Linked DNA regions of Styela clava. The main gene of each other region encodes a partner of the protein of the gene in region 2 in a complex. Links are inferred from orthologs where the notes say so. Each region holds a gene or a part of one and is shown on either strand. Other genes may lie near its edges. The genes, in order: trafficking protein particle complex subunit 9-like, trafficking protein particle complex subunit 8-like and trafficking protein particle complex subunit 12-like.

Region 1 (6,626 bases), about 4.1 Mb from region 2:
CATAGTTTACACTGTTTGTGGTAATAAAAGCACTGAGGGAACTTGTTATTGAATCGTTGCCATATAAAAGGGAGCATTCAATTGGACAGTTTATCATTTTACAAGAGCTTTCATATGAAAGTAAACTGGGAAGATGGATGTTTCCTCCATGTTCAAATTCATTGCCATCGTGTTTTACTTTCCAAGACAAATCCAGCATTTTTTTAATGTGAAGAATACATAGTTCATCAATAATGCCACTTGATGGTAGATCCATTTTTTGCATTTGAACTTGACAAACTTTTCCCTCATCACACTCAATTGGTATCATATTGTCATTGCAACCACCTTCACCATCAAAAGATTTGAAATGAATCTCTGCATCATATTGCAATGTATTTTTTAGATGCAAGCACACAAGACAATAATCACAAGATTTTGACTCTAGGCTCTTTACTTCAATAGCTTCAACTACAATACTGACATCAGTTTTTATAACCATTTCAATTTCTGTACATCGCCACCATATATCTTTACCCAAATTTCCTGCATACTTTATCGTAGCCACACACAAAAATTCTTGACACTTCTCAATTTCCAAAACAGTAGTTTTTGGTTCAATGTGCACAGGAATCTGAACAGTTTTCCCAGGAGGGAGTGATACTTGCTTAATATTGTCATCAACATTTATTAATATGTCTTGCATGTTGTGTTTAGTTTTAATTAAAATATTCCAATCACAAATTGGTTGTTTTCCAATGTTGGTAAGATGGAATGGTAAGTTTGTCTTTTCACCAAAATAATATACAATTAAAGGCTTCCCTTCCTCTTCTTTACATTTGTCATCCTTGATGCACTTTAGTAACGGCAAGTCACCAATAACTTGAATCTGTACTTCAGTTGTTTCAATGTTATCATTTTTGTTGAAGTAACATTTTGCATAAACTCCATACATTGAAAATGCATATCCAATAATAGTGACTGTACCTAATTCTACTGGAGTTACTTTAATCCCGACTTCAAAGGATGATTGCGGCGCAATGTTAAAAGTCTGTGGTTGACAATCTATAGCTGAACTGTTTGAATCAAGAATCAGCGAAAATTCTGATATCTTGATACTGCAATGAGAAAGTGGATTAAATACATGTACTATAATCTCGAACATTGTGTTTACACACCATCTAAAACAAATTTTTTTAAGCTCGTGTGTTTGTGACTGTCTAATCGTTGGTGTGTAAATAAAAACACTTTGAGCATCAGATTCAGTTTTAGACTTTGTTGGTCTCATTCCATCATCTTCAAATAAAGGAGAAATCTTAGTTATGACTGGTAAAACATAGAAGTTGAGTTCAGGTGATGTGCTATCGAGTACACTAATATTTTTCTTGACATAATTTTCCAATGCAGAGCAAGTTGCCTTTTCATCAGTTTCAGACAAATAAGGAAACATATTCAAAATCAAATAAAGCAAATAACGAAGTGCAAGACTATGATTATTAATTTTTTCCAAAGAATATACAAGTTCATGTAATATTCTAAGACTAATACTTGGCCATCCATGTCTGTTTTTAAGGTATGGGGAGATGATAGAGTGTTTAGTCGGACATGATATTGTGTTCAATAAAAGTCTGTTGCAAAGTTTCCAATCAGGTTCTTTGATATGATGTGCTACACATTGCATCGCAGCCACTCGTTTGTAAAATGCAGATTTTCTGTAAAATCCTATACTTTTATATAAATCAGCCATCACACTGTATCGTTGTAATCTTTCGGTATCTGAAACATTGAGTGTGATGTAAACAGCATTTTGAATGAATTCTGAAGCTTCTAAAAAGCTTTTAGCCTCAGCAAATACTTTTGTTGCTTTGATACAAGCTTCCATTTCAATAACAGCCAAGTTTTTATATCTGCTATAATGAATAATAGCTTCTCTGTATCGATCCACTAAATCTTTCATTGACGAAATACAAAGCTTTTTAACATCAGGTGCTGCAAAAGACGATATTGGCTTTTTAGAAAGATTTCGGGGGTCAAGGGTGAAATTCACAGAAGATTTCTCAGTTTTCAGACTAGCAAAATGCACCAGGGCTGAAACCACACACAAACCTTCCAAAGCACTTCCTACCCAAACTGTATCATTAATTGGAATCAATATGTCAAGTGCACTGTGATAACATTGTAATGCTTCAGATATTTGTCCCACCAGCAAGTTAACGTCAGCAAGATGCTTATAGTGACGACCAGAACATTTTTTGCGCATCACTTTACTGTCAGACTCATTTTTTTCATCTGGATTTTCAAACGGAGTGGCTATAAGCATTGGTTTTCCACTTCTTTCTTGAGCCATTCGCAAACGTTTTGATTCCAGCTCATAAAAAATTGCTGTGACAAACTGTTTGATATCATAATCCACAGATTTCCATGCATTGTGAGATGAAAATTGAAAAACATCTTGACTGTGGGGACGAATGGTTGTGTCTATTCCAAAGATAATACACCTAGAATGCAATAATCCTGGACTGTACTCCTCTTTCAGTTTATTAAATTTATCCAGGATTAAAGCTGCTTCCATTGGATTAATAGCTTCTCCAATAAATACAATTCCACACACTTGTCTATGTGCCTGTAATGGACCCCAATGGCTATTTTGTGGGGATGCATTATCATCAAATCGAATGTTAATTGTGTACCCAGCATCATTTATCACAAGAGATTTGTAAAGTTCCAATTTCTTCAAGACAAACTGTACTGATGCTGTGTTTATGTTTGCAGCATATTTGACACCAATGAGGATTTGCGAATGATCCAGTGCAGATGTCATATAATTAGCAACGCTCATCTTCTTGTTTTGTAGTAATAAATTATACAGAATATATTCAGTACTTCATATCATTCTGTCATTGAAAAATGAAATTACAAAGTCGCTGCAATACAGCAATATTTCGACCTATGACACTTGTACACAGTTTCAAAAAACACCGGTACCGTACGGTATGTCTGTATGTATATATTAGTCAAAAAAAATGCAGTTCTCATATTCATTATATAAAGTCAGACAGTACGATATATAAATACACTGGTACTAAAGTAGGCTAAACGCCGTAACTGCTTATGACAGTAGGATAAGATTTACATATTTAAATATCGCCTTACAAAAATGTAATATGAAATGAACGCTGTAACAGTGTAACTGCTCAAATTACACCCCCAAAAAATGTGACAATGAAATGTAATGTTCTCTTGCTACAGCATCCTTGCGTAATACGCATACGGATCCACCTGCGCAAAGGCATAAGGAGCAAGGAAAGGTAGTTAGTTTAACGCAACCTCAACTGTTAGTTACAAAAAAATGTGATTCAAGATTTTAATGTAAAAGGTCGAAATTACACCCGTATTGTCTTAAAGTGTCGCCGTCGAAAATGCAAAAAGATGGACGACTCATCTGTTGTCTTGTGAGTTGAGTTGTCCGCCTCCCTTTGTCCCATGCCATGCGGTAAGCATACGGTATTCGTGCAAGCCAGACTTTTATTTTTAGAAAAAAATGAAAATTTGGGTTGTATTTTCAAATCACATTTTTGTTTGACGTTATTGAAGCACTTAGATAAGATTTACATATTTATCCCGGGGGAGAGGAAAGCCGATAAGACGGCTTATCCATATGGCGAACCACAGCCTCTCGTCCGGTTACCATTCCAAGTCGGGTATGGGATTAGTTATATTGTTTGTTTTCGGAAGCATGGACTTGGTGGTGGAGGAAGCCGTAACCGAACCAGCGGTTACGTGAACCACCCAACGACGGCGAGGAGTCCAGCAATCCTCTCGCACATAACCATCCCTGAATGGGATTCGAACCTGCGAATCCACGCAGAGTAAGTAAAGGTGCGGTGGCGAGCGTATTTCTAACGCTTAGCCCGTTGAGCCACACCGCCGCGCCTTACAGCAGTCATTTTCCCACCACATTTGTGTTTGGGGGTATTTAAGCAGTTACGGTGTTTCCTTCACAAGACAAAAAGTGTCATGCTACGCCCACTAGAAGTATGTTAGGTACGAAACTACATGAGACCCAAAGCTGCAAAGGCAATACCGGTACTGGTACCGGTACCGGTATAAATTAAAGCCGTAAGTTACATTATATTCGCTATTCGGCGTTGTGCAACCATTTTTGCATATGTTATTCCTAACCCCCACTTGACCTATGGCATTCAGAAATTACGCCACTACGACACCACAGCACAGCAGTAACGTAAAAATGTCTCCAAACTATACCGGTACCGGTACTAACTCCAGAACTCTGCAACTGCTGAACTTTGCTATTTCTTGGTCGGAGGTGAGTCCAACTCGGATACAATCGGTAATGACGTCACATTGGTCGGAGTCGGAGTCCAACTCGGATCCACTCGGTGATGACGTCACGAACATTGATTTTTTTTTGCAAGATTTCGGTAACCGGGATTATATTAGTTTATTTTTGGACACGAAATGTACATATGCTTTTGTTTTTTCAATTATGTTCTTGTTAATATCTTCAACTACAGGCCAATTGATAATTGGAAAGTTTATGCTGTCGTTAGAAGGCTATTAATTTTATTTCCTCATCAGGCGCGGCGGTGTGGCTCAACGGGCTAAGCGTTAGGAATACGCTCGCCACCGCACCTCTAATTACTCTGCGTGGGTTCGCAGGTTTGAATCCCATGCAGGGATGGTTAGATGCGAGAGGATGGACTCCTCGCCGTCATTGGGTGGTTCACGTAACCGCTGGTCGGTTACGGCTTCCTCCACCATCAATTCCATGCTTCCGAAAACAAACAATACAGTAAAACTAATCCCATACCCGACTTGGAATGGTAACCGGACGAGAGGCCGTGGTTCGCCATAGGGATAAGTCGTCTTATCGGCTTTCCTCTCCCCCGGGATAAATATGTATATCCTATCTTATCCTTATCACTGAATACTTCAGTTACGTCAACCTAGAGCAGGTTTTCCCAAACTGGGGTCCGCGACGACTACATAGGGGGTCCGCAGTGATATTGAGCGACTGAAAAATGTACATTTAACATATAGAGGACTTGCACGGGTCACGTGACTTTGTTACTGAACGGCAATAAAACAAACACGTCCATTTGGCTCCTGTCAGTTGCAAGTCGGATTATACGTTTCCGTTTTGTTTGGCTGTTGAAAATGGTTATTTCGTATTGTTCCGTTAGCTGTACGTATAGTATAGACAACGAAATGGATCTTCATTTATATTCCACTGATTTCAAAAGATCCGGAACGTCGCGCAATGTGGATATCATCTATTGCCTATTGGCAGAACTGCTTGGTGTCAAGTCCAGAAGCCATATTACTTGTGTTTCACTGTTTGCGGACAGCACTTCGTTGATGGTGAGTGATAATGTGGTGATAGTGTGCCGTTATCAATTTTTTCAAATATTCACAAGCTCCCTCATTTCAATGGAAAGCAGATGACAAACTACTGTTATTAGTAGGCTTAGGCGTGGGCCTACTTGCAGTTGCAGACTTGACTTGTGTGAGACAGTAAGGAATTAATAATCAATTGCTATAAGGTATTGTTTCCCTAACTAGCAGGTAATCTATTACTAAGTGTGAAAGGTTGAATAGATAACTAAAGTTTAACACCAGTGGTCATGCAAAAAATAACCAGAATTCAATTGATTCGCCATCTAGGAATACGCTCGCCACCGCCTCTCTGATCACCCTGGTAGTTTCACAGGTTTCAATCCCACGCGCGGATAGTTATGTGCGAGAGGATTGCAGCTCTACTCCCACCGAGGGTGGTTCACATGACCGCTGATCGGTTACGACCATTCCCCACCATCCAAGTCCATGCTTCTGAAAACAAATAACTGGCTCCTCCCCAGATAAATCCTATCCTAATGGTGCTTGTACAACTGATCCAAAATGTCTTTTTATTGTCATTGGTAAAAAAGATATGCTACCCGGAATCAAATTCATTTACGACTAGTGGCTGTGGTGGGATATGGACTTAAATTTCACACTCCTTGATCGTTAGATTTTATGAAAACTCTATCTGTATCCATTATCTTACAGATATGGGTGCGACAATGGAATAGATGGATGGCAAAGTATAAGTTGCAACAAGACCACAGTGGCACAAGACCTCAGCTTGCGTGACTTGATAATACATCCTCAGTATCCATTTATTGATGCTTATCGTAATGACAAAGTAACTTGTGATTACTGTGGATTGGTGGAGATAAAGTGTCCATTGTGCTTTAACGAAAGCAACTTCAAGACGACCCTATCAAGAAAAAAAAAATGTTTCGGTGGGTCTGGTAGTGAAGGTTTTAGTCTAACGTTGGACACCGATACTACAACAAGATACAGTTGCCAATGAAACTTACCGAGGCGTAATATTGCGACTTTGTGATCTGGAAGGAAATTCTGATGGGTAGCCGGCTAGCCGCAACCTTTTGTTCAAAGAATATTATGAGATATGACTTAAGAGTCTAAACTTTTATTTGAAAGGGGTGTAATCCAAGCTAATTTGCAAATGGTATTCATGGTACCAAATGTATCACACACTTTACAGTAATTATAAATTATATTTGAAAAATAAAGCACATCAAAAATGTATTTTTAAAAAAAATTGGTTTTATCTGCAGATA
Region 2 (6,626 bases):
TTCTGTGAATACATGTATATTGCACTTTACCTAACGTTTTGCTAAAATTTTTCAACTATTCAATATTTATGAAATATCCACAAGGTGGTTTTTGAGGAATTTGAGGTGTCGTTCCCATAAGGTGCATCGGAATAGCTGTCACGCTCACACCACTGACGTTAAATACACCCCTACGCGCAAAACAAGCCTTCAAATTTACTTTGATTTCACTGTGAGGAGCGAGAAGTCTCTTTGCTTCGGTAGCACCAACCCATGCAAAGTCCGTATGAGATTGACGTTTTCCAAAATTGTCCTCCACATTCGGCAAACTGACGGTTACATGCAGCTTCAAATTGCTGAGATTATACACCATTAATGTCATATCAGTATGACATAGACTGTTCGCAGTAAAATCATGTTTTATTGTAGAATTATACCTGAGTCTCCATGTTACTAATCGATGTAAAGTTTGAAGAGAAAATTCCTCTGCTGATTTGGGCATGTTATCAGAAATTTTAACAGGCATAGTTTCAGGGGTTGAGAATGTACCTAGACCTTCAAAAAGATCTTTTAAATCCAATTGGTGTTGGCCGTACATAAACGCATCATTATAACCACCTTTCCAATGAATGATGATTTCAGGGGGCTCGTACAAATCTCGCTTCTCAGAATCAACATCAAACTTCTTTGCCAGATTGAGGTACATATATAGATGGTTGTTTACTGATAAAGCTGGTAGCTTTTTATCACCCACTATTTCTACAACACAGCTTGAATTTGAGCATGTTACATCCTCAATAAAAAGCATCCATGAATCTTTCGTTGAAGCATTTCGTACCCGTAAAGATATTATAAAATTTTCTTGGTTCACAGGAGTCATTAATTCAGCCAGAATATCAACACCTTCTGTACATTCAATATGATTTCTAATGAAGAAAGTACGACCCGATGGTCCATCAACAATACAATTTGATTTACAGTACACTAAAGCATCTGCTTGATGAATTCCACTAGTTGCAGGTGCTTTAATGCAAACGTCCATTTTCACAGATTTTCCTGGTAATAAAGGCTCTGACAACACATTAGTAAATTTAATCTTCTTAGATTTTGAATCGGTTGTAATAACATTGGGTAAAATAAACTTGTGACCATTTGTACCGCATATGGTAAACTGAACTTTGTCATTCGCAAGTATCTTGACGATATCAAGTTGAACATTGCCCGTATTCTGTAGCCTTATTGTTGTATTGACAACTTCATTGCACACCATTGTGGTTGGAAAATTATCAAATGTTGCGGACATTTTTGGCAAAACAGGGAGAACATGAAAATTCAATCTTTGATCAGTACCGTACATAACACCACATCTTTCATCTTTCGTTTTATTCAATCTCCGACCAAGAATATTAAACGGTTGATAGTCTTTCACAGAATAGCTAGTATCATGTTCAGTGTCTTCTGAACTATCACTTGAAGACAATCCTAATTTATAAGATGTCCCCAATGCTGTCAGCACTCCTGGTTTAAGAGGTTTAGCAGTAAAAAGGGCTGTTTTCTTAGTCAGTGGAGGAATGGTCAGAATAGGCACAGAACTACATTGAAATATGTCACCTTCAATAAGCTGTGAATTTTCTTTTTCAGGCAGCTTGAAATCCCATTTTATTGTAATATCCGACATGCAAATCGGAATATCCAGGTAGTTTTGAAATGTCACTTCGATATTAACAACTTCCCCCACAGCCAACTGTGGACTTTTAACATTAGAAGTTGATTTACAGAAGCATTTCATTCCGCTGACAACAGTACCAGGCAGTAAAGGTTCCGAATCCAAAAGTAAATTTACCAATTTAGACATCTTGGTATTAAATTCCGGTGTAAAGTCATTATCGCTCTGATCGAGACAAACTTTCGTTTCCGATTCAAGTAATTTTGGTAAACCTAACATTGCATTTTCCACTTTCGCATCATTTAACTGTTCACATTGTTGAAATATATGAATAAATTCATGAAAAAATGCAGCTTGCTGGGATGAAGGTTGAGAAGATTCCTGAACAAGAAGACTGCGAAATGAATTCGATGAATCCAATAAATGTTTCATGTTAAAAGACTGTCTTGCCATGGCAAAATTAATATGATCTTCAGCTAGACTCCATCCTTGGCCCAGATATACTTGGAGGGCAAGGTTATAGCTACGCAGTGCATGTGCTCTTTGGGCACATTTGCTAAATCGGTGACCTGCTAAGATCAAGTGAAATGCAAACTTTTTAGGCTGCGGTTCTTTCATTTTGAGATAAGAATGTGCAGCTTGCTCCAAAAGTAATGCACTCCTCAGATCATCTGTTTCATTTGTGACTTTTATCAAATAAAATGCTGCTTCATTGAACTGTCCTAGAAACTGTAAACATTCAGCATGTATCAGTGAGCATCTAAGGGCAAGGTAGTCATTTTTACATACATCAATGTACATCGTTATCGCAGATTCCATGTAGTGAGAAGGATAAGTTTTCTGAGTGTTGCGTTGCATGAAATTGGATGTGGCAGCCATCTCAGATGCACCAGCAGCGTACAACCAAGCTTGGTCGTTCGTGTAATCCTTCTTTGCATTATGATAAAAGTAAAAAGCTTGGTCGTACATCTGTGACAGAAAACACAAATCTGCGATCTTTCTCAAAAGCAATTCATTCGCATCATGACTATAACCTGATGTGGAAGCAACACTAGATGGTGATTTACTAGATCCAAATAAAGTTCTTGTCGCACGAAACAATGATTTATGTAACGCTTTTCTTGCTGACAGCTGGTCGTTGATATTTTTTATTGTTTTTTCCATATGAGGTATAAGTGCAGAAACTATAAAATCATGCATGAAGGATTGCAGACCATCATGATCAGCCATAGTAAGACAACATCCAAACCCTTTTTCGACAGACGTTTTCGAATTTTTTATGATATCATTGAACCATGGTTGATTTTCTTCAGAATTGGTTCCGTTCACTGTGGATATTTTAGAATAAGCAACATCAGTTACATTATTTTTCAGAGAAGACGTTGAAGAATTCATAAACTGATGCCATGGATCAGGCAAATTTTGCGCACCCTCGGAGTTCGATACATTCCTGGAGTTTATACATAAAAAATGACAAACTTTTGTTCCATATGTTGCTTGCAATGTTGCAAAAACTTCCTTCGCTTTACTATCATCGCTTTGTTGCGCATCATGAAGAAGAACAAAATATTTTAATGTATTTGGCGTCATCCATCTCAAAGAATCGTTATTTTTTTCACCATGTTGGATATGATTTTGAAGTTGGCTCAGATTCGCAAATTCTTGCATTGGGTTTGGATGAAGTGATGATACGACTAACATACAAGCAATATGATGATTCAAAAACTCATGATCTTGCGGAGGTCCGAATTTAACCATCATATCTCTGTAAGTATCCATCCACGGACATGAACGATTCACAGACAAGTCATATTCCTTACATGGAACAGATATGGTTTGTATATTATCACTGGAACCTGATTTTGAAACCAAATCCGCTATCATTTGACGTATAATATTTTTATCGATACTAGCATATTTTTGTCGAATGTCTGACACGCGTACATGGACATTATAAGCTCGGTATACTTGAGCACCAATTCCTTGAATTTTCGCTTCATTTGTTAACGTACAGAATGGTTGAATCAGTTCAGAAAATGACAGATTATTCTTCTGGCTGACAAATTCAGCATCTTGGCTGGAAAGGACACCAACTCGAATTGAAAATGCACTTTTTATAAAATCATGAGTACTTTTCAAGCTTTCAGCCATTCTATAATTTATGACTATAAGTAAAATATAAAGCAAGCATGTCAAATATAATATTCCGTGAATACAGGAAAAGTTGGAACAGTGAAAACAGGAAAAGGATTGGCGTAATCTGGCGAAAATTGTAGATATATAAGTATAAGTCTATATAAACTAAGTCACGATACTGCACAGGGTTGCCATATTGGCTTTTTTAACGCCAAATTTGCCATTTTTGGCTTTTTTCAAACGCGTTTGGCCTCAGAATTTCCGTTTGGCTTTTTTCAAGTCTACGAGGTGTGGCTAAAAAGAAACGAGACTGACGTCACAGATTGCGCAACACGATTAACCATTGGTAATCAACACTTTTACAGTGTGGTGTAATATGTGTTCTTTGTTCAACAGCTTTTTTGACACAATATCGCAATTATTTTTGCTCTTTAGGAGCCATAGGTGAATGTGATTAATTGCTTGTTGAAAAAAAAATTGCCGTGCGAGATCTGATTGAGTTTTTTGGCGATAGGGGGTTCAATTGCAGAATGACGATTGAGCAATGAATTAACATTAAATTTTGTGTCAAACTTGGAAAAACGGCGACTGCGACTTTGAAGAAATTGTGTGATGTTTATGGAGATTCTTCCATGTCCAGAACAAGAGTTTTTGAATGGCACAAGCGATTTGTGGGATGCAGGGAGGATGTGGAGGATGATTCGAAGTCAGGAAGGCCTTGCACTTCCACAACTGATACCAACATCGAAAAGGTATCAGTTGTGAGTTCAGTTGTGAAAGGCAGTTGATTCGCAGCGACCGTCGCTCAACAATTCGCGTCATTGCGAAGTTGGAAAAGACAAAAAAAAACGGTTCGCACCAGTTTGGTTGACACTTTTGGCTTGTGAAAGGTGAGTGCCAAAATGGTGCCAAGGCTGTTGACTGAGGAGCAGAAAGCTCAACGATTAAATGTTGCCCAGTTGACATGCATTTTTCCAAGTTTGACACAAAATTTAATGTTAATTCATTGCTCAATCGTCATTCTGCAATTGAACCCCCTATCGCCAAAAAACTCAATCAGATCTCGCACGGCAATTTTTTTTTCAACAAGCAATTAATCACATTCACCTATGGCTCCTAAAGAGCAAAAATAATTGCGATATTGTGTCAAAAAAGCTGTTGAACAAAGAACACATATTACACCACACTGTAAAAGTGTTGATTACCAATGGTTAATCGTGTTGCGCAATCTGTGACGTCAGTCTCGTTTCTTTTTAGCCACACCTCGTATTCTAGTGTCTATTATTAAAATCATATGAAATACAATATTTAGTGTGTAACAACTGAACAATACCCTATTACCTGTACTTAGCTACTTAACATTAGGATTTCCTGGGGCATCGATTTCCTTGTTTGTTACATCAACTCTTAAACATACCCAATAAGAAATGATCGCAGTTTCTGCAGCTGCTCAGACAGATGTTCAAGCAGGGTTGTAAACATTTCCTCCTTTTTATAGTTTTACAAGTTATTTGTCTGTTTTACGTTCTGTTTCCGAAAAAATAGTTGTATTAACTTAATTTTCATTATGCCTGATATGGTTTATGTGAGCTTTAGTTTAATTCTGCAATTGCAGTAACGATGTGATTAACGACGCTAAAATTACTGAATTAGATATAAGTGGTCCACCTGCAGACCTGTGAGCGGCAAGGGGTTAGATAATTTTTTAATAAAATTGATGGTTTATAAATTTTAAAAATGAAAATATTTTCAATAGTAAAGTAAGATAACGGGAGAATTTTTTAAGGTATATCACAAGTTTAAGTAGAAACATGTAGGTAACTTATATTACATTCTGACAGACTGAAGCAGCACCCTGTATTGTATATATTGAATGGTAAAATAATGCTGTCCGCTTGATATTCATTTTACTTTCTACAGTTCTATAGGAACTTTACTTTCTATTTGTGTGCCTCACTGAATGAACTGATGGCTCTACATCATCATCAGTACGGTACGTTGCCAAGGGCTTAAAATCTGACAAATCATGGGGCTTTTGTACTTAGTAAAATTGTTGGCTTTTTTATGTCTTGATTTGGCTTTTTTTGATCGCTGGGGTCTGGCAACCCTGATCCTGCAATCACAAGTCACAATCTGAATTCTGAACCTGAATCAAGGCTACAGACGGCCACTTCCAACACCATGACGGCACACTTGACTGTTGGTTTCTCACTCACGGGAAGTATTTTTGCGCGAAAACATTTCAGTCCAAGCAAAGTGTTCGTTAGCAAATAGACTAAGATAGGGTTAAGTTTCAAGGTTGAAAAGATTCGATTTGAATCATACGGTACCGGTACAGGCAAATAAGGTACCGTACCGGCAACGAAGTACAAGTATATGATATTTGTACAAGCTGTATTTATGTCAAATCAATGGATCACGCAAAAAGGTTTCTCGCAAAAGACACAGAGCTACAAATCAATATGTAATTGTCTACTCTACTCACTCGCAATTAACTTGGCCTTTCACTTTAATGAATACTCATATTTTATTTGTCATATTGCCATCACTAGTATGGAATTCCCATACGAAGCCCATAGTTGTGTGGCATACTGTCGATATAATTCGCATTCAACAAATGATATGTACATCTTCTTTTGCCGTAAAAACTGACATTTGCATGCGAGTACCGTACTTCGCTTAATTGATGGTCTTTATTTTCCCACGCCAATTTGTGGTGTTAGGAAGGTTCGTCTCGCTTTCGGAAATATATATGTTTAAAAAATTTCTAATTCAATCAATCAATTTTATTTGGTCACTCTTATAGAAACAAAACACAAACCAACAACAAACGGACAAACAAAAT
Region 3 (6,626 bases), on a different chromosome or scaffold from region 2:
TATGAAAAAAAGATGATACAACCTTTTTGCGAAGGGAGCATAAAAACATCAGTTGCACACAAGATTACTTTACAGTCTCCTATGTGGCCAACAGCTACATTTGGCTATGAACCTACCTACCTGCAAAATCTACACCCTATGCAAGTCATATCCCCCCCCCCCCCCCCCCCCCCGCCTAAAAACTGCTGCATTTAGGTATGTATAAGTATACTACAACATTTCAAAATACCTTCTTAAGCCTTGTACCAAACATATATAATTTCATAAAAAAGAGCCATTGAAAAGCAATGCCTTCATGCGGGAATGCTGTAGCAAGAATGAAAATGACTATATATACAGTGTATAAAACTCTGAATTCACACCGAATAACAATTTAATATCTAATAATAAATATGTATCAAAAGGAAGCTATATTTTACCTAAATTAATTTCATCCATTCTTACCAATAGAGAACAAAGTTCTGACTTTTCTTTCATTCCAAAGTTTGATGGAAGCTTCGACATCATTGGAATTCAGAACGGTCATTTCCCCAACTTCTGTCTTTCCATCGTTTAAATTTTGTAATATCTGTGTATGACAATAAAAATGATAATATGAGGCAGATGGCAAATTAGGATAATTCTGAAAACATTCGTGATAATATTCGAAAATGGAATACCTAAATTGGGCCATGTTCACAGGATACATACAAGTCAAAATCAATGCAGATAAACAGTGTTTTGATTTGTTTTCTATTTTTACAGTTTTCATGGATTAAATTCAATTCAGAGTTTGAAATATTGGAAATGATGAATTTCTATAGATTAGAATATTCGATTCGTTTAGTAAATTTCTGGTGCTAATGTTTAAACAGTGGGAGATTCTCAGATTCGAATGCATTAAAAGATTATTTTTTGACATATTGAAGTTTGTCATTATATCACATATTTTTGTGCAAAATTTTGTAAAAATACATTTCTGTTTATCAAATAAACTTCTTACCTTATCACAAACATTTAATATTCTGTGCAGACGAGCCAATGATAATTGAGCTCTGTCGACATGACGTGGGAACTCAGCATGGAGAAGTCGAAATGAAAATGGAACCATGGATCCTCGACGACCTAAAAATGGAAAGAAAATTTTATGGAAATCAGTATAAGCTAGAAGAATACTGCAGAAGACCACAGCCACTCCAATAGCCTAGGCACGAGAAGAGCTAATTTGTTCATAATAATATAATCAACCACATAGAAGTCAAACCAATGCAGGGTAATCAGTATGTTGACTACTAACACTTTGAAGGATGCGATGCCCTGTTTTTTTTGGGCACTACCCTCCATCTTGAGCACTACGTTAAGTTAAAGGCATAATTAAATGATCATATATGAATAAAAATAATTCTCACCTGGATAGACATCAGGATAAAATTCATAGTACAAGTCTGCATTGTCGAGATTTTTGAAAGTAGAAATTTCACTTGTAGCCATGTCATATAGTTTTAATTTTGTGAGGATATATATGCGAGTGTACCACAACTACAAACAAAACAACACAAATTAATAAACATATTCAAAATTAGCTAGTAAAGAAATAATGCAATATTAAATTTGCCAATAGTTTTGACTTGCATGAATACTCACTCCGTTTTTATTATTCGGTATAATATTTTTAGCTTTCCATTTGAGTATTGCTTTCATTAGCTCTACTTTATACCATATCATGCCCACAATAAAAATCAGTATCATTGACAGCTTATTGACTTATTAATTTTCTACCAACAGGCTGCAACTAAGTAAAATCAAACCTGTAATGTTTCTGATGTATTGAGTGTCATTCGTGTAACTTGACCAAATCCTTGACCATGAGTTGTTAATAGTTTAGCACACAGGTTTGCAGCAGATCGTAGATTGCCAGATTCCTGTAAAATGAAAAAAAAAACTGACTTCATTATATTCTGCGCCTGATTTTGAAATGTATCAAATTAAAAATTTGGTTAAAATCATAAAATTCCATTCTTGTGCTATGATTGAAAATGTACCATCAGTTTTTTGATTCCATCTTTATTGAGAGTGACATCGTCCATTGTCAGATTGCCACGTTTCACAACATTCTCTGACCCCGTCATTCTTACGACAAGCTCTTTGACTGGATCCTCTACAGAAAAAGGGAACTGTTATTTTATATCACACAAAAATTTTTGTGAGGTTAGAAAATAGGCACAAAACAAGAATACCAATCTACGGTAATTTAAAATTTTTCATATTTATATTTATTCTGGAAAAGCCAACAGTAAGGTGTATTCATGTTATGAATCATGGGCCCCTCATTCAGTTACCAATCTTGGTATGCGAAATGTTGATCAGTTGTTTCACATGCATGAAGCTGTAACTGACCAATGGTTATTATGTGAACCACCTTTTGACAGCAATGACGTCCAGCAAATCGATAGTATATGACTATCCTCCACATGATACGAACCTGCAAACCCACAGGGTTAGGGCAAATTAAGAGAAAAGCCAAATGCCGAAAAAGTTCCAATTTATCATTTTCAAGGGACGGAAAATCATTTTAGAAATTCAAACCTCAATGAAAAACTCCAAATCATACCAATAATACAAACCTAACAATTCACTGGTAGATAATCCTGGTCTAGTAATCTTCTCCATTTCTAAATCAGGAGATTTATGGTTCACAATTGCAGCGGTCAATATGGCTCTAGTGTCTTCACAAGGTAGCCAGGCATCACGTCTTCGATCAAGAACACTGTTACTCAAAGCGGCAGCAAACGGGTCATCTGTGGAAAATTGGGAAAGTATACGCAATTGTTACAACATAATTTTTGATACAGACGATCAAATATAAGACAAACTTTTGCATATGTAAGCAATGTTAGTTCATAATTGATATTTACAATTAGAATAAAACGTAGAATTTATTAAAGCACTTGGCATACCATTTGAAAATAAGATTTTAAGAGAAGTTTTTGAACAAATATCTTATTCTCATCAAGGAGAAAAACCACTAGCAAATGGTAAAAACATTTTGCCAGCTATTGCAAAATATATTAATTATCAGCGGTCACTTCAGATTGAGTAAATTATTTAGATCTGAGCCCAAAAGCTGAAAAGTACTTTATTAACATATAATAAGAATGCAAATACAAGCAGATATTAACCCTTTACTTACCTTCCTCTATTTCTATACCATGTCGTTCAGACACTGGACTTGGAAACAAAGTTTGTTGCTTATCTTGAACAGAGGTGAATAATAAACCAGTAGTTGGAATTTCAGGTTGAATTTCGGTTTCAGTAGCCGTTTGTTGCGTAGATACTTCTTCAGTCTCGTTGATTTCGGTAGTTTTCGATTCTTCATAAGTCATTTTAGATTCTTGTATCGAGGTGTTTTCATTTTCTGAAAGTTGTTTTACATTTGGATCTTCTAATGATAGTTTCTCAATTTCCGTTGAAGCGTCTTCAATGATATCATCCACTTCAATATCGTTTGGTAAATCAGAGATAGCAGATTCTGTGTTCACCATATCATCTGGCGATATTGAAAACGATGGTATTCCTGCCGAAGGCACTGGCTGTGATTCATTTAATAATACATCCTGAGCCATTTTACCTGGGTTTTCAGGAATTTCATCAGATTCTATTAATTCTTCGACAATGAATGAATCGACTGAGCGATTCAATCGCAGCGTTTCCATTGAAGGGGTTAATTTTATGGATTCTGTCATTGGGGTTGAAATACTGCTATCATCTATGCTCTCAGATGTAAATGAATGATCGTGAGCGGCTTCATCCGCTTTTGCGTCTTCTGAAATTTTCGAAAATATATCATCACCAGATGATGTAGGAATCGAATTGCCACTTCCAAACACATCACACAACTCAGGCTCTTTTGATTCATTTTCTTTAACTTGAACCACGTTTTGTGAATTGGACACGCCAGAAAAATCTTTTTTCAATTCTTTCTGAGATAATGTTGTGTCGATTGACCCATCACTGAAAAGGGTACAAACCGGGATGGGTTCATTCGGTAATTGGTTGTTTTGGACGTCGCCACCTCCATCAGCCATACCTCACAACTATATCTAGACAATTTATATATCTTCTAAAATCACGGCAGTAAGAAGTCAGTGTTAATATTACATGAAAAGTCAGTTATCAGATGTATTCAAAGCTTATCGGACATTACGCAATGGGAATCCAGAAAGTGTATTTATAGAAATAATAAGCTAGCATGTCCAAAATTGAATAGTTCAATGTTTCAAATACATTCTACATTTATATTTTCGAGTAGGCTATTGATATATAATGAGCTGGAAAACGTACTGCAAAAAAATTGATAAAAAGCACTGTAAATTGATAGAAACTAAATTTGGTAATGTAGAATAGATAAGACTGTAAGATAAGCATTGTTTTGATAGATAACCAGTCAAATCCAAATTTGGACATCCCTGATGACAATTATCATAGCGCATACCCTATGAAAAGTGACCTCATCCATTTTAGTTTTGTAATTTTTCATGTTATCCTATTTTAAAAACAAGCCAATGACAGTAACATATTGGACAACAAGCTATGCCAAATGAAAGAGAGAAAGAGACGAATAGTAGCCATTCACTAATTCGAATGGTTGACAGCAAATTCTGCATTGAATTTTCTAAATTCAAAATGACGCAAAAGAAATTAAATTGCTGAACTCTTCAAGATAATTGTGGCACGGTATACTTAGAAATATACAATTAAGTCTTTCCTTAAATTTTCATACAGCATTTCATCGATGAATGATTGTGATCTCGCTCAAACATTAAAGCTACAGTCGTTGGGTTAGATACATCTCTAAAATTATGGCGCAGTACGAAAAAAAACCTTTGAAACCAAGAATTAGATACTTAATATTGGCCGTCAAATTCCACAATAATTCAAGTACGAAAATATTTGTACATAGCAAATCATTAACAAAAAGACAGTATATATACAGTCCAATAAGTCATAACAATCTCCAATCCATATTGAGCTATCCAACATCTGCAAACTTCGCAAAGTTAAACTCTGCGATTTATATTTGACGTTGTTTGGTTCCTTCTTCGAATTAATGGCGTCATTTGTGTTTTTTTGTTTAAATATTCAGCTTCGAGATCTGCTGCGTGAACGAGAACGACTCTGGCGTTTATCTTCAGGCGTTCTGCTTCGAGATCGAGAACGTGAATATTTCGGAGACGGACTTCGGGAACGAGACGGAGAATGAGACCTGGAGCGGGAGTATCTTCTTCTTGGAGATCGAGAACGTGATTTGCCACCTTCCCGACAGTTCCTAGCGATATGTCCAGTTTGATTACATGTATAGCATCGGACTTCTGACATGTCACGTCTCGGTGGTCGATCACTGTAACTGGGTCGAAAATTTCTATTTCTTTTTTGCCCATGTGAAAGTTCAACTTTCGCTCGACGTCCACAAAGCGTTGTTCCATCTAAACTTCTGACAGCGTCTTTAGCATCTCTTGGGTCTTCAAATTCAACGTACGCGAAGCCTGGTGGTTTTCTGGCAACCCATACACTTACTAATCTTCCAAAATGTCCGAATTCAATTTCCAATTCACTTCGTGAAGCTCCATCTCCAAGATTTCCAACGTACACTTTGCAATCGAGTGGAGCACTCGGTCTTCTGTCCTTATATGACATAATAAAGACTTTAATAAAGTTGAACTAGTTAAATTAGTAACTTACAAATACTAATTGGTCATATAACTGATAATGTAAAGTTCTGCATGAATAATACTCAGAAGAACGAACAACTTTTAAGCTATGCTTAAAAGGCACAAAGGAATATTTTTCAGCTTTGGCTGGTATCACAGTACTGCAGTAATACAGATCGTCTTTAGAAAAATGAAAGCTTTTTTAAAATAAAAGGGAATATATTATGTATACACAATACGGTATAAAATAGATGGCAAACCACGGCGGCCTCTCGTCCGGTCCGAGAAAAAAGTGCTGAAAATTCTAACATAACAAACTGACTGTTCCCAGGCAATACTAAACGCGCATTACTTCAAACGTCTGAACGTGATACTTTTTGTAATCCAGATTTTGAAACTCACATTCATATAACGTAATATATTTTTCAACGCTGATGCGGCGAAACTTTCGTCATAAATGGCGCCATCATGGGGCGAGGCATCAATCCTGTGAACAGTCATTTACATCAGACCGATCAGACTACAATAGCAGAATTGTAAACTGGATAAGTCTCTGACTTGGATTTTCAATTGTCCCAATAAAGGCACTGGCCGTATAAGGATGTTAACTACTGTAATATATTTCGTTTCAATATATATATTGAGCGGACGGATGAAAGGTAAACGCAAGAGGCCTCCATCACGTTATTTTGGGCAATAACTCAACTACCCAATGTCGCCGTCCTTTCGCCAAATTGGGACCCAATGCTCTGCGTCAATCAAAGCGCCAGTGTTGCAACGAATTGGGACGCTCCCCTTCAATACTAATGTATCTATTTGTTCGTCCTATTTTTTACACGCTTAAATTTAGATTTTGCACGCATTCTCGGCCGTTTCGCGCTTGGGCTCCGGCGTTTGTCACGCCGAGGCTTGTACTGCGGAATTTCTGGTCTGGTCATT

The links.
Region 1: trafficking protein particle complex subunit 8-like (region 2) and trafficking protein particle complex subunit 9-like share a complex: the UniProt entries of both Homo sapiens proteins name them as parts of the multisubunit TRAPP (transport protein particle) complex. The link is inferred for Styela clava from reciprocal best matches to the Homo sapiens genes TRAPPC8 and TRAPPC9.
Region 3: trafficking protein particle complex subunit 8-like (region 2) and trafficking protein particle complex subunit 12-like share a complex: the UniProt entries of both Homo sapiens proteins name them as parts of the multisubunit TRAPP (transport protein particle) complex. The link is inferred for Styela clava from reciprocal best matches to the Homo sapiens genes TRAPPC8 and TRAPPC12.

The regions. Positions count from the first base shown.
Region 1 is NC_135261.1:13,761,987-13,768,612, forward strand, and holds the start of trafficking protein particle complex subunit 9-like, read right to left. Parts: upstream 4,083-6,626; 5' UTR 2,819-4,082; coding exon 1-2,818. UniProt on the Homo sapiens protein: Functions as an activator of NF-kappa-B through increased phosphorylation of the IKK complex. May function in neuronal cells differentiation. May play a role in vesicular transport from endoplasmic reticulum to Golgi.
Region 2 is NC_135261.1:17,899,714-17,906,339, reverse strand, and holds the start of trafficking protein particle complex subunit 8-like, read right to left. Parts: upstream 3,905-6,626; 5' UTR 3,797-3,904; coding exon 56-3,796; 3' UTR 1-55. UniProt on the Homo sapiens protein: Plays a role in endoplasmic reticulum to Golgi apparatus trafficking at a very early stage. Maintains together with TBC1D14 the cycling pool of ATG9 required for initiation of autophagy. Involved in collagen secretion.
Region 3 is NC_135264.1:11,783,231-11,789,856, reverse strand, and holds the start of trafficking protein particle complex subunit 12-like, read right to left. Parts: upstream 4,089-6,626; 5' UTR 4,065-4,088; coding exon 3,170-4,064; intron 2,778-3,169; coding exon 2,604-2,777; intron 2,138-2,603; coding exon 2,022-2,137; intron 1,902-2,021; coding exon 1,788-1,901; intron 1,519-1,787; coding exon 1,389-1,518; intron 1,105-1,388; coding exon 983-1,104; intron 569-982; coding exon 445-568; intron 1-444. Other genes in the region: serine/arginine-rich splicing factor 3-like, read right to left, coding at 5,119-5,673. UniProt on the Homo sapiens protein: Component of the TRAPP complex, which is involved in endoplasmic reticulum to Golgi apparatus trafficking at a very early stage.